Styela clava: one gene and its partner. The protein of the gene in region 1 binds, or shares a complex with, the protein of each later gene. Links are inferred from orthologs where the notes say so. Each region holds a gene or a part of one and is shown on either strand. Other genes may lie near its edges. The genes, in order: THO complex subunit 1-like and THO complex subunit 7 homolog.

The links.
Region 2: the proteins of THO complex subunit 1-like (region 1) and THO complex subunit 7 homolog are in contact, whole or in part, in a cryo-EM structure (PDB 7APK), measured with the Homo sapiens proteins. The link is inferred for Styela clava from reciprocal best matches to the Homo sapiens genes THOC1 and THOC7. Residues at the interface, in NP_005122.2 of Homo sapiens: Leu10, Arg14, Glu46, Gln53, Arg56, Glu60, Ile63, Ile64, Asp99, Asp102, Cys103, Leu104, Pro105, Arg146, Gln151; in NP_079351.2 of Homo sapiens: Tyr47, Gln51, Leu54, Ser55, Ser58, Gln59, Phe62, Gly65, Lys66, Leu69, Val70, Met73, Arg76, Glu77, Asn80, Ile84, Ile88.

The regions. Positions count from the first base shown.
Region 1 is NC_135252.1:8,700,781-8,708,958, forward strand, and holds the start of THO complex subunit 1-like, read left to right. Parts: upstream 1-5,176; 5' UTR 5,177-5,395; coding exon 5,396-5,440; intron 5,441-6,275; exon of another isoform or gene 6,276-6,489; coding exon of another isoform or gene 6,490-6,516; intron 6,517-6,801; coding exon 6,802-7,036; intron 7,037-7,976; coding exon 7,977-8,114; intron 8,115-8,178. UniProt on the Homo sapiens protein: Component of the THO subcomplex of the TREX complex which is thought to couple mRNA transcription, processing and nuclear export, and which specifically associates with spliced mRNA and not with unspliced pre-mRNA.
Region 2 is NC_135258.1:15,197,931-15,205,558, forward strand, and holds the start of THO complex subunit 7 homolog, read right to left. Parts: upstream 3,194-7,628; 5' UTR 3,016-3,193; coding exon 3,003-3,015; intron 1,227-3,002; coding exon 1,106-1,226; intron 779-1,105; coding exon 664-778; intron 124-663; coding exon 1-123. UniProt on the Homo sapiens protein: Component of the THO subcomplex of the TREX complex which is thought to couple mRNA transcription, processing and nuclear export, and which specifically associates with spliced mRNA and not with unspliced pre-mRNA.

The DNA of each region.
Region 1 (8,178 bases):
CATGTCAACTCGCCATGCATTCAATCGTTGAGCTTTCTGCTCCTCAGTCAACTCAAGAGCCTTTGGCATCATTTTGGCACACACCTTTCGCACTCCCAAAGTGTCTACCGAAATGGTGCAGACCGTTTCTTTGTCCATCCCAACTTCTTTGGCAATGACGCGAGTTGTTAAGCGACGGTCACTGCGAACCAACTGCCGAACCTTTTTGATGTTTTGGTATCAGTTGTGGAAGTGCAGGGCCTTCCTGACTTTGGATCATTCTCAACATCTTCCCTGCCTGCCACAAATCGCTTGTGCCATTTAAAAACTCTTGTTCTGGACATGGAAAAATCTCCATAAACATCACGCAACATCTTCAAAGTCTCATTCGCCGTTTTTCCCGAGTTTGACACAAAATTTAATGTTAATTCTTCGCTCAATCGTCATTCTGCAATTGAATCCCCTATCGCCAAAAAACTCAATCAGATCTCGCAAAGCAATTTTTTTTTCAACAAGCAATTAATCACATTCACCTATGGCTCCTAAAAAGCAAAAATAATTGCGCTATTGTGTCAAAACAGCTGTTAAACAAAGAACACATATTACGCCACACTGTAAAAGTGCTGATTACCGGTGGTAAATCATGTTGCGCAATCTGTGACGACAATCCCGTTTCATTTTAGCCACACCTCGTAGAAACAAATTTAATTCAAAGAGGCAGCCGATTCGTCTGATAAAAAATTTTACGAGCGGTGATCCTTGTTGGAATTAAGCAATAATTTTATATTTGTTCACGAGTGATATTTGACTCAACTTTGACATTACCTCCTCCGATTTAAACAGTTTAAGAAATAAATTCCATAACATGAATTTATCTATAGTTTCGAAAATATATGATATTAGAGTTAGACGACAGCTCTAAACAAATAGTTATGCCAAAACCGAGTCGGATATTACTGATGACACGCTGACACCAAAGTTATATTTAATGTTGCTCAATAGTTAACATTTTCCGTAAATACGAAGAACATGTAAATCAGGGACGAGGACGTAGAAAACAAATTTTCAAAGGGGGGTTCTCAAATTTTTAATTGCCAAATTACACCGTAACAGCTATCGGGTACGGGCAGGGGCGCAGCCAGGATTTTCAAAAGGGGGATTTTAAAATCGGAATTGTGAATTTCCATGCAACGGCTTCTGAAATGGTCGCCGCGATTGCGCGATCGTTAAAATAGTCATATAATATATAATGACTTTTTCTGTCGCGTAATATTCAATCCATGAAAACTACGAAAATTTAAAATGTTTTTCTATTTTAATTTTATTGTGTTCAACCGTAAGTAACTAGCGGTTTAGACGACTTACGACAACATTACTAATCTAAAATCCCACTGCACACAATGATGTGAGGTCAACTTATAGCAACTACCCCCCCCCCCCCAAATGTACCCATTTCATGTTTAAATCATCAAAACAAAGTTAATTTTTCCCAAAATTCGAACAAAGACTTTCGTAGGAATCAAATTACACCATTTTTAAGAACATAACATGTTCCACCCAGTCATTATCAAATTAAAATTTATATTCTCAAGACCTTTGGCACTGATTGAAATAATTATATCTAAGTTCCCATCCGTACGATGTACATATTTACTCTTATTGAGATAATAGGAGTTTCTGTTTATAACGTGAATCACGAGCTCACGTTTACAGCATTTAATTAGATTTATGATCGACGTATAAATACGACTCGATATCTTTCAATGAAAAGCTAGTGTGGATAAATGTTTTAAGATTTGTATTCTGTGTGTCGTGGAAATCTGAGAATAAAATCAAACAGAGTTTTCTAAAGTCTTCATTAACGTGGGCATTGAAGCTGAAGGGTGAACGGGCGATTGGCAGTTCTGAGACGGTCTACGATATAGCAATATACGGTGACATCACATCCATTTACCAATTATTATAAATTATATATGTTATAAACTGACCGAATATGTTTAGTTTTGATATAGATTTTTGCGCTCTTGCGAATTCGTTATCGTCGTTAGAAAAATCCCAAGATCTGCTATAAAATCCCAGAAAGTAAAATTTAATCAGGAACAATAAAATACATATCGAGTATATTTATCAAAAATACATCTTCTCCGCCTTGAAGTCCCCAAGAAACGGCTTCTGAACAGGTCGTCGCGATTACGCCACTCGTTAAAAGAGCCGGCTTTTTCAACGAATATGTAAAGACTTTTCTGTTGCATAAAATATTCAATCCATGGCCGATATGGCCATATTTAAAATGGGCTGCTTCATTAATTGGGTCGTGATCAATTTAATCTGCAATTTCGATAATATTAAATAAAGCATCACTAGAGATAGAAACTGCATCTAATCGAAGTTGTCGAGCCTTAACCTTTGTGTCGCAATGGACTTCATGATACGGGAAGCCGTAACCGACCAGCAGTTACGTGACCACCCTACGGCGGCGACGAGTCCAGTAAACCCTATCGCACATATTTATCTGCCACGGGATTCGAACTTGCGAACCCACAAAGGGTACCCTGATCAGAGGAGCGGTGCCAAGCGTATTCCTAACGCTTTCAGGTCAGGTATGGGATTAGTTAGCCAGGTATTTGTTTTCGGAAGCATGGACTTGATATTAGTATTAGTTGGTACTTTCAAATTGATTGAATATTTCGAATCAAAATGATGCGTTGAAAAATGTAAACTAGTTCGTAGGTGCCAACTTGCAAAACCAGTCTTATAAGTACAAGAGAGCTATGCTCAAATATATGGACACGTCACAGCAGATACCCCAGTCTACGCCTATTTTGACACCAAGCGAAGCAGTACTGCAGTAGTTTACCTTACCTTATCTTTATCATTGCTGGTACCGGTAACCTCAAAAAACTTCCGAGTTTCGAGTAGCGAGAATTTTCGGAATCGGTCGTCACGCTTGGCGGATTAAAATCCGTGTTCCCACGATTGAAAAGTGATACAGCGAATATTTGAATGAAATATTGGATCCCATAGGGTTCATAGAAAATTTAGGACTAAAAAAAAGTAATAACCTTATGGCAAAAAAATCAATCTTAAAAAAATGAAAATTTCAAAGCAATTGGTCCAGTATTCGAAGAGAAAAGCGATTTTATCATGACGAAGGAGAAAATACCAAAAACAACAACATAATATTGAAACGATCGTTATGTACACTGACGTGTCCAATAAGAGATTATTCCAATTATAAAATTCTCAGGGTATGTATGAAAAGAATTTATCTGAGAGAGAGGAAGCGAATTCAATATTTTTGTCAACCACAATACAAATAAATATTAAAATGATAAATTACACAGCATTTATTCAGGTATCGACTGGGAGGTCATCAAAGGCAGCTACCACCCATCCCAGCCGTATGATTTTTGAGAACGAAATAAAAAATAACCGTCGACTACCGTGTTTCCCCGAAAATAAGACCTACCCTGAAAATGAGACCTAGCCGGAATTTTAAGAATGATTTTAATATAAGCCCTCCACTTAAAATAAGACCTAGTACAGTGGTTCTCAACCTTTTATGGCTCGTGGCCCCCTTCCGTTGGCTTTTCGCACTCGTGGCCCCCCTGTTCCCCATTTTAAAAAACTAGACGCGTTGGATGGTATTATGTATTTACGACCTTTTATGAAATGCAAAAACAAACCACAGTCAAGAAAGTCAAAGCTTTTCAGTAAACAATCAATGGGAATCTTGTGCTTGGGACTGTCTGACTAGGTTCCTTATATTAGGCACCGTCTGTGATATAGCCAGACGAATGTCACTGTCAACATCAAGACGGTTTCTAAATTTTGTTTTCATGGTAGCAAGATCAGTGCAAATATGTTTGAAATACTTTTTACATGCAATAGTGGTACTTGGCATAGTCAATGTTGCTTTCTTGTCGAATTTAATTCACTTGGCAGCCAAGCACCGATATCATTTATATAAACAGCTTTTATCTTGGGATAATTTTTGTCACGGTGGTTTTGGAGTTTAGATGGACGTAATGATTTATTGCTCATTACATACGAGAAATGCAGGACTTGCGCACATTTTGTGTCATTTACTTTGGTAAAGCCAAAGCCAACGTAACTGTCGTTCCATTTTCGTATTTTGGGCATTAGAAATATAGGATTCTGAGTCTAAAATACGATACCGACAGTTATCTCTCACCATGGACCTTTCCCCGAGCATCGACTTCCTTGTTTACTTCGTGACATTGGCCAATCGGCAAAATGCAAAAAGTGACGTAACAATGCTCCCTTTTCGCATCCGCTCAGACACTTTTCTCACTCAGACAGGAATTAAAAATTCCTGTAGAAATAGCTGTGATAGACTGGGCTAAAATTCTTTACCGGTACTTTTAAAAAACAGATTGTTGTATGCGATGAATCATAAACCTTTGTTGAACCTATGTTTGAAACCTATACCGATTTTACAGGCGCCAACTCGCGAAACCACTCTTAAAATAAGCCCCGAAAATTTTGCAATGATGAAGTACAGGAAGAATTTTTCGTGGGTCAAAGGTCGGGGAAAGGTCCATAGTGAAACCAGTCTGCAGGTTAGACTGCTTACCAACGAACTATTTTGATTGATAGATTCCTAATTCCATTATGATCAAACAATTCACGCACAAGAAAGTGAATACACCCTGTGACCTGAAATTACCTATTCAGATAATGAAACTGAGGCAACGGGAATTTACTTTTAAAGGGAAAGTATGCAAACGAAGTCGCTTTTTAATCAATTATTAAACTCGTGTCGTGGCCCCCCTTGAGCTGCTCCGTGGCCCCTTTGGGGGGCCACCGGCCCCCGGTTGAGAACCACTGAGTCCTTGTAGATAACGCAAATTTTTTTTGACCTATATATCAAGAAATCTCTCCAGCACGTTTTAAATGATCAGTCTAAAACGTATGGGAGAGGAAAACGTGTTATTTAAGTAAATTGATATCGATTTGTATATTTTTTATATTTAAAAATCTCGTGATTCTCTACTTTGTAATTCTGTTTTTGATGAATGAAAATAAAAGACATCCCCTGAAAAGAAAAAAAAAAGAAAATTGAATAAGACACTGTCTTATTTTCGGGGAAACACGGTGGTTAACTACCAAATATATTTAAACGAAGAATAACATCAATGCAAATAATATTGTGAAGAGGTACAAAAATAAGTGGATATTGAAAAAATTGTTCAACGAAAGTTGAAAAAAAAAAACTTTCTTTTTGGGGTCAAAAGTCAGAAAAATATCCGGGGTCAAAATTCGAGAAATTTTCTTCGTGTTTCGCTGCTAGCTCCACAGTGGTGTTGGGCTGTTTTATAATTTTGTAGAGATCTTCTCACCTATATAATTCCGACTCATTTTGGCCTACAGACTTAGGAAGCTTTTTTTTGCAATGGCCTCTGATTTTGTATTCCAGGATGCATTGTCCTCTTTCAAGGTAAGTCAGTCTTATTGTCAGCTTGTTGACTATGATCATGCGGTCATTTATAAACAAATTGCAGAATTTTATTAGTCATTTCACACACGCTCACATGCACCCACCAGCCACACACACAACCACTGAGAAGTTATTTAAGTATGAATAAAACGAGATAAATTTAGGGTATTCGGTATACTATACAGTAAACAAAAATAAATAAATAAATACTAGAAAAGAAAAAAATTTTCTGCCACACCATATTGATATTTTTGTAATGGTTGCCATTGCCAAATTGATCGATCTTCTAATCGTTAATTAAGATATAAAAGGAAGATTCTATTGAAAACATATTGCCAAGCTGATTATAGTTGGAGTCAAATGCCAAGTTGCCCAACCAAAGTTGCCAGAATTGGGTGCATGAAGAGGTGGGCGAGACCATTTCATTCCCCAAATTAGAGCCTATTACAGTATTATTGCCAAATTATAGTCCAGATTGTAATAAGTAATTAAAGTTACCGGTAACAGTAAAATTACAATAATTAAGTAAAGTAGGATGTGGAAATAAATTGGTTACAAAGGGTGTAAGTGAGGTTTTTCATTCTTGGGTATTGATTTCAGACAAGGATATAGGAATAAGGTTGTTATTTCACAGGATATCGGAGTCTTTTTTTGATTTTTCCCTATGTGTTTTACTTCATTTAATCACTTTGAAGTAACCTGAAAAACAAAAAATAAAACCGTGAGTAGATGTTTCAATGATTGGGTGAAGGGGAACGCTCTGAACTATTTATTACAGGCAAAAAATAATTGTTTAATTAAATGGGATGTCATCAAACATTCCAGGGTTTTTAGCAAAAAATAGCACTTTTGGTCGTGTGCCCGCCGACGCGTGTCAGGTTTAAGTAGCCTACCTGTAAGATTATGATTGAGGCAAGCATGGCGCGATCTGACGCGTCTTCCATCATGATAGATGCTCTCGTTTCAGAGTGTTCAAATTGAGTGTTTGTTTTATTGAACCAAATGTCAGGACATCTTGGAATTGGAGAATCTTTCCTTATTGTAAAATTATGCAGTACCATTGCTCTCAACAACAGGTATGGCCTATCAACTCACCACATAAAACTAACCTGATCGAATTTTGAAAAATTTGTTATGGTGTTACTTATTATTTGCGAAGTTCTTTTTTTGAGACGTCTTATACCTTATTAATTCTGTAATTTTGAAACTACTCATTTTTAAGTAAACTCATTGGAAATTGCAGCATAAAGATGTTTTGAATGTTTCAGTTTTGTTAATATTTTTCTATTCAACTTCTCAATATTATGCTGATATGAAACTGTTACTGAACGGCTGTGAACGCTTTATATTTGTTTATGCAGAATGAAATTTTCGAAGATTTATCAAGTGGAAAGATTGATTCTATTGTTTCAATAAAAAGTGTTTTTCAAACTATCTCTGGCACTGAAGCAGATAAACGATTGGCAGCAGATCAAGCATTTCGTATTACAGTATCCAATCTCATTCAGGAGACAATAAAAGAAATTCATGGGGATAAAGAAATGGCAAATGATGCATTGAAAGTTATTTCACTCACTGTTGTTGCTGCTAAACAAGGTTCTATTCTGTATAACACAAATTTTTTATATGATGTTTCAATACATCTTTTGCTTTGTACAATACTCTGCTCAAGGAACCCCTGCTTGGTAAGGTGATACTACAGAAAGGCACAGTTTTCCGATTCCATAAATATCGCCCACATTTAGAGACATCGGGTATAACAGTGAGTGCCCCGCCTTCACGAGGCAGTCTGGGCCTCCATATCGACTCAAAACAGTAAACTGGCGTTCCGCAATAAACTGAAAGGAAGCGTATCTAAAAACATCATAATTGGATTCCTCTGAAAAAAATAATCTAATTTACAAACGGAAAAAAATTTACTGTACCATTCAAGAGTTTTTAGCAAAAAAACACAATTTTGGTCATGTGACAAACGTGTCTAATTGGTTAAAATTATTACCAAGACAAGCTTGGCGCGATTTAACGCATCTGCTGTCATGCCAGTCGCCCACGTTTCAGCGACGAATAGAGTGTTTAATGTCAGGACATCTTGGAATCGTAAAACTGTGCTCTACTGTACTATAGTTTGGAAGGATCGGAATCTTTCCTGTTTGCTATTTCTTACCCAATTCATTACTTTGGGCGAGTTGGTCTGCATAGGATTTGATTTGAGATTTAACCTGCTATGCCATCATAGTTAAGTCTAACACTTTAACCATTAGGCCACCTCATTCATTACAATTTTTTACTACAACACTATTTGAATTCAAGTTAGTCTGGCGTGTGGCACTGACTTTCGGTGGTTTGAATTAGATAACCCTGTCTATCCAAGTTTCATTCAATATTCAATAATGTCAGTTAAGTTATTTTCATTTCTCTTTTTTTGAGGAATTAGCAATCCAAATTACAATCCGAAATCAGCTTTTCTACAACTTATCAAGAGGACTGCATTTAAGTTTTTTTAAACAAACCTATTATAAAATTGATTCTGTTTTAGGTATGTGTTCGGCAAGTCTACCATTCAGCCTTCTAGGAGATTTGTTAGATTGCCTTACTCTTGACACATGTGACCCAGTGTTTTGCTTTATTGAAGAGAGAGTAGCAACATGGAAATCTTCACAGTTTTATACTGCAGGTCAATATTGAATAATAGCTGATTGTTTTCTTATTGATTCGTGTATATTTCAAGTGATTTGCTA
Region 2 (7,628 bases), on another chromosome or scaffold:
AACGATAGTAGCCAGTGCATCATATTCTTGTCTGTTCTTTCGTACTAGTTTTGCTTTTTCCAAATCATTCTTACATTTCTCTATCTCATGATGTGCCAGTTCAACATTGTTGTCAATGTCGTTCTTATATTTGTACAAAACATTGAATACAACATATTATGGATCAATAAGCCAATTAAATCTCAGATATATATTTACATATAGTTTTATAATTTTTCTATGCTCAATACAAAATCCCGATCTCCATACGAAAACTGGAGAAGGTACTTATAAAACAGTTGCAAGAAACTACTGCAGTTGCATAGCTAGGCTTCTATCAAGACAACTGCTTTTGCCTAAGGGACAAAGTGTAAGTTCTAGGGGGAAAATATCATTTTTTATTGTCAACATAACTAGTTGACCATGATTATCGATAAAGACACTTATAACAAATAATAAGTCCATCAGACACTCACATAGTTGCTTAAATTGTGCAATAAATTCGTTGTTAACAATATTACATAGTGAATATAATCATTTCTGTTTTATTAATAAGAAGATGCTACCCATTGTGCTTGTTTTGTCACAACAGGGGAAATTCACAAGTTTAAATACCAATATCATAAGATTGATCAATCAAGCCTTTGTATTGTCTTCCCTCTCCCTAAAATCATAGTCGAATACCTGTATTTTTTCATACTTTCTCATCTGCTTTTTATTCATTTCATGAACATAAGTTGCCCTCGTCATTGCAAATTCACTTTGAGATAGAATTGATAGCATTCTTTGTAGTGTCTGACTGAATAAAAACCAGTAGTATAAATTTTGCAGTTTATTATATTTAGGCCAATTTTACCAGGAACTGTGATAACAGCATCTTGTTATTTGCATCTCACTGTTTTCTTTATTAATTGATATGTGTTTTGAAATCGAATGTCATAATACTTTTTTTACTTTCGGTGTAAAGCTTTTTGATTTCTAGTTTTGAGTAATTTTATGTATACTATAAGAAATCCATTATAAAACCACATTTTTATAAGACACTACTCTCAAATATCTTTTCTTTTTCAGAAATCCATTCTATATTCAACTCTTACTGTCTTAGTAGTTAGTACATATCTCTTACTGATCAGTTTCTGAAGATTCAGTATTGCACCATTTCATAAAGAGTTTCATCAAAGTAGTGAATCTTCTTTCATCCCCGCCTCCATCTCCATCTATCAGGAGACGCTTTCGAATTACTTCATCTAAAAAAAAATATTATTGCTTGAAATCTGAAGCAGAGAAAGTGGTACAGGATGAATTTTTACATTTATTCGGAATAAGTTCTGAAAGTAGATACGACAGTAAGTTGCCGTCATCATATCAACCAGTTGATAGTCTCTCATTCAATTATCTGCTCTGACATAGTATGAGAATAGTGAACTCGGTTGATCATATCAAGTCACAACTATGTCTTCCTCTTACAGTCTTAATATGACATCCCACCTACCAATAAAACATACCGGTATCAATGGGTCTTAAAAGAGTTAATTAAAGTCGTTGAGACATATTTCAGTATTCGACAAAGAATTCAAAATTAAGGGGTAAAAATTTTCATTATACTTTATATAGTCAGTTATGTAGCATAGGATAGGTACGGTACCCCTTTGAAATCTCCCATCTAAAAGCCAAAAATTGAGTGAAGAATAATGCAGTAATGTAAGTCTGTATGTGGGTCTGGTATAGTTTAGTACCGGTACCACATGTACTTCTAGTTGGCCTGACTCAACAATTTTTGCATATGTCAATCCTAACCCCCACCCAACTACGTCACCGAAAAAATACGTCATTTCGACATCACAGTGGCGTAATAAGGCCCACCAAAGTATGCGGCTGGTCGTCCAAAACGTGCAGACGATCATCCGAAATCGAGCAAGCTATTTCTCTCGTTTTCGCGTCACAACAATCACGATGGGAGTGAGATGCCATTTCGGGCGATCGTAATTATACTTTGGCAAGCCATATGACGTGATGGTGACGTAATTTTTGGATGGCATAGTCAGGTGGGGGTTAGGAATAACATATACAAAATTCGTTATGCTACCCCCACTGCAAGTACTTGTGGCACTAAACTAAACTATTTTTTGTTTTTCAGGTTACTTCAAAGTGATTAAATGAAGTAAAACACATAAGGAAAAAATCAAACAAAGACTCCGATATCCTGTGAAATAACAATCTTATTCCTATATCCTTGTCTGAAATCAATACCCAAGAATGAAAAACCTCACTTACACCCTTTGTAACCAATTTTTTTCCATATCCAACTTTAGTTAATTATAGTAATTTTACTGTTCCAGTAACTTTAATTACTTATCACAATCTGGACTATAATTTGGCAATAATAGGCTCTAATTTGGGGAATGGAATGGTCTCGCCCACCTCTTCATGCACCCAATTCTGGCAACTTTGGTTGGGCAACTTGGCATTTGACTCCAACTATACCGGTACCTAATCAGCTTGGCAATATGTTTTCAATAGAATCTTCCTTTTATATTTTAATTAACGATTGGAAGATCGATCAATTTGGCATTGGCAACCATTACAAAATTATCAATATGGTGTGGCAAATAATTTTTTTTCTTTTCTAGTATTTATTTATATTTTTTTGTTTACTGTATAGTACCGTATACCCTAAATTTATCGTGTTTTATTTTCACTTAAATAACTTCTCAGTGGTTGGGTGTGTGTGTGGCTGGTGGGTGCATGTGAGTGTGTGTGAAATAACTTAATAATTTTAGGTGAGTAAACACGTACCACTTCCTCTTGGCAAAACCTTCCATCTTATATTTTGTACGTTATAAAACCCTACCTATCTAAGGTTTCGTTTGCTCCCCTGATTTCATAATCAGTTTTTATTTATTTGTTTTTATCCGTCAAATGTATTGTTATGCTGATTATGGAGTCGAAATAAACTTATACTAGACCCTCAATTTCGTACCGGTACCGGTATAGATTGCAAATGTTCGGGCATTTCTGCTTACCATCCGTAGCCATTATCCTCTGATCCAGTTAATGAGTTATTTAATAACCGTTGAACCTTGATGACGTCTTGTTGAAAATATCCAGAATATTTGGCTGCCTTGCACCAGCGGTTCTGCGACTGTAGGGTACCGTACGACAGCACGCGTGCAAAAGTATTGTCAGAGAGTAACGCTGCAAACTGACAAACAGCAACCACTGTGAAGCTAGTAGCAATTTGACTTTTGTGTGCGGCGAAGCGGAAAGGTGAATATTGGCAGCAGAAATGAAGGAGTGTCATAATCTACATCCGAAAAAATGTAGAAAAACGAATTTAGAATACGATCAATGGGAAGATACTAATCATTTACGATAAATTAACATCTACAAAGCAAAAAATAACAATAAATTACATGATAAACAATGAAAAAACAATAAAAATGACACGAATTTTATTTAACTTCCTTCGAAATAGCAGATGAGCAATTCCTAAATCAAGTCAAGTTGTACAGTAAACAAAACTAAGGAGATGGATGACGAGTTTAAAAAATGGGGAGTCAGCGTACCCCCATAGGAGAACATAAGCCTTCCAAATTTTAAAACCTAGGGTATTCTCATAGCTAAAAAACGTCCTTATTCGGAAAATTACCTATAGCTAAAAAAGCTGATTTAGTCAAATTTCAAAGCCTAGCAGCACATCCTTCCGCCCAAGAGGCATCCGATTTGATTATTTATTATTAAAGAGGTTTATCTGAAGTTATTTACACAACTCGAACCTAAGTCATGTTTTTATTAGAATCTAGGGTATTATCGAAGCGAAAATGGCCTATTTTTGAAAAATTGCGTATAGCGAAAAAAGCTGATTTAGCCAAATTTCAAAGCCTAGCAGCACGCCCTTCCGCCCAAGAGGCATCCGATTTGATTATTTATTATTAAAGATGTTTATCTGAAGTTTTTCACACATCTTGAACCTAAGCCTTGTTTTTATTAGAATTTAGGGTATTATCGAAGCGAAAATGGCCTTATTTGGAAAAATTACTTATAGCGAAAAAAGCTGATTTAGCCAAATTTCAAAGCCTAGCAGCACACCCTTCCGCCCAAGAGGCATCCGATTTGATTATTTATTATTAAAGAGGTTTATCTGAAGTTTTTCACACAACTCGAACCTAAGCCTTGTTTTTATTAGAATCTAGGGTATTATCGAAGCGAAAATGGCCCATTTTGGAAAAATTACGTATAGCGAAAAAATCTGATTTAACCAAATTTCAAAGCCTAGCAGCACACCCTTCCGCCCAAGAGGCATCCGATTTGATTATTTATTATTAAAGAGGTTTATCTGAAGTTTTTCACACAACTCGAACCTAAGCCTTGTTTTTATTAGAATCTAGGGTATTATCGAAGCGAAAATGGCCTTATTTGGAAAAATTACTTATAGTCAAAAAAGCTGATTTAGCCAAATTTCAAAGCCTAGCAGCACATCCTTCCGCCCAAGAGGCATCCGATTTGATTATTTATTATTAAAGAGGTTTATCTGAAGTTTTTCACACAACTCGAACCTAAGCCTTGTTTTTATTAGAATCTAGGGTATTATCGAAGCGAAAATGGCCCATTTTTGAAAAATTACGTATAGCGAAAAAAGCTGATTCAACCAAATTTCAAAGCCTAGCAGCACACCCTTCCGCCCAAGAGGCATCCGATTTGATTGTTTATTATTAAAGAGGTTTATCTGAAGTTTTTCACACAACTCGAACCTAAGCCTTGTTTTTATTAGAATCTAGGGTATTATCGAAGCGAAAATGGCCCATTTTGAAAAAATTACGTATAGCGAAAAAAGCTGATTCAATCAAATTTCAAAGCCTAGCAGCACACCCTTCCGCCCAAGAGGCATCCGATTTCATTATTTATTATTAAAGATGTTTATCTGAAGTTTTTCACACAGTTCGAACCTAAGCCTTGTTTTTTATTAGAATCTAGGGTATTATCGAAGCGAAAATGGCCCATTTTTGAAAAATTACGTATAGCGAAAAAAGCCGATTTAACCAAATTTCAAAGCCTAGCAGCACACCCTTCCGCCCAAGAGGCATCCGATTTGATTATTTATTATTAAAGAGGTTTATCTGAAGTTTTTCACACAACACGAACCTAAGCCTTGTTTTTATTAGAATCTAGGGTATTATCGAAGCGAAAATGGCCCATTTTTGAAAAATTACGTATAGCGAAAAAAGCTGATTTAACCAAATTTCAATGCCTAGCAGCACACCCTTCCGCCCAAGAGGCATCCGATTTGATTATTTATTATTAACGAGGTTTATCTGAAGTTTTTCACACATCTTGAACCTAAGCCTTGTTTTTATTAGAATTTAGGGTATTATCGAAGCGAAAATGGCCTTATTTGGAAAAATTACTTATAGCGAAAAAAGCTGATTTAGCCAAATTTCAAAGCCTAGCAGCACACCCTTCCGCCCAAGAGGCATCCGATTTGATTATTTATTATTAAAGAGGTTTATCTGAAGTTTTTCACACAACTCGAACCTAAGCCTTGTTTTTATTAGAATCTAGGATATTATCGAAGCGAAAATGGCCCATTTTTGAAAAATTACGTATAGCGAAAAAAGCTGATTAACCAAATTTCAAAGCCTAGCAGCACACCCTTCCGCCCAAGAGGCATACGATTTGATTATTTATTATTAAAGAGGTTTATCTGAAGTTTTTCACACAACACGAACCTAAGCCTTGTTTTTATTAGAATCTAGGGTATTATCGAAGCGAAAATGGCCTTATTTGGAAAAATTACTTATAGCGAAAAACATTAACATTAATTTACAACGAGTTACGGGTAAAAATTAACCGACGGCTATCACTAACAGGTAGAAACGTTTTCGCAAAAAGCGCATCATCACCGTTTTTGTAAATTTAGAAACGTCGAAACAGATAAGTAAGACAAGTGAACATAGTATTTTGTGGAAATTTCTTGAGGTATTGGGGAGAAATATTATTTTGACCATGTAGAAATGTCATTATTGCCTATTTATTCACGTGTTTAGTATCAGTGTTTTAACCCAAACCCAAATCTGAGTTACGTGAATACTGAACATTGAGTATTCTAAAGATTACCAATTTGCGTTTATTGATTATTATTTAATACGAAAGTAACACGGACACGATCTAAAATTAAAAGCATAGAAATGTGAACAATACGCCTCACAAATATCGCATCCCGGGGTCAGTAATAATAATATTGTTGGTCTAAAATTGGGACCGTTATTTACAAATTGTGTTGCAAATCTTACACAGAATATAAAAATCACAATAAAATTAATTTGTGTTGTAAATGCACTCCTCAATAGTTGTCTTTAACATCTTCGCCGATGTGAACTCAGAATTCTGTCCGAAATATAAAAACCAAACTACGATCATTAATGTTTGCTAGTGAATAATAAAGTGCTTTGATATAGTTTAACAATATTAATTGGAATGTCAGCCTCCGAAACGATCGTGGTGACAACATTTACTGCAGCCTTCGATTATGACAAAATTATGAAATAAAAAAGCAGCATTGTTATGGAGTTTTCAGCCATCTAGTAAAATCCGAAAAAGAAAAAAAAATTATTGCCACAGCATCGTTTCGGCGGCCTATATCCCAATTAGTGTTGTTTAAAATGACAATATTCATTATTCGGTGTTTGTTAAAAATATTCGAATAACTCAATATAAAAAATACGATTGTGCCCGCCACTCATCATGGCGCATGTAAATAATCAATGAATGGCAATAAAAAATCAACTTCATTAACATTAAATTCCAAGTATTAGTTTCACATTTCATGAATTTGATCGACGATACATGCGAACGTGTTTTTGTACATATAAACACTTATGACGCTACTGACATCTGCGAGTTATAGTTCTCTCCAAAATTTATTTTTCGCGATTTTTAAGGTTTTATTTCTAAATGCGGGTATCCGCGGACTACGGATTAATGGTCCATGTTTGAAATAGGACTTGCAAAATATTCACCAAACACCGCCAGGCAAGGAGAGGCGGGCTACACGTAACTGTGGAATTTCGCTGTGAACAATGTATACTTTTTAGTTTATTAACTCTTCCAGACCCTGGAGATTAACCCTAGGGCTTACATTGCACTACCTTTCATTCTCAAAATATTCCAACTGATTCGCCGATTTTAAACGCCAAACTAACGGAGATTTTCACTTCAACGAAAATTGAGCAAAATTTGTAGAAAAGTCTTGAACGTAACAATTAGTGTGTCTAGTAGAGGGTTAATAACTATTCCTAATTAAATATTTTTTATTTAATTTAACTGTAACCCCCGTTGAAAAATCCTGGCTGTGCCCCAGATCGTATGCTTTTACCCCAAAATTCAATAACAATGTTGAGATTTTGCGTATTCAACTTATGATCCATTTAAATAATTTCATAAACTTCAGTGAATTTCTATTCAACAGCCAAAATGTACTCTTCCCCGAACAACTCACTGCTATAGCTTGAGAATAACTATCCAAATCTATACTTTCGAAATGTTTGCTTCTTCCCATCATAGAATTGGTGGTACATTTATTCTTTGAGGTAGATAGGCTGAAAAGTTTCAATAGATTACACCTCTGTGATTACTTGTCAAAGATTTTAAAA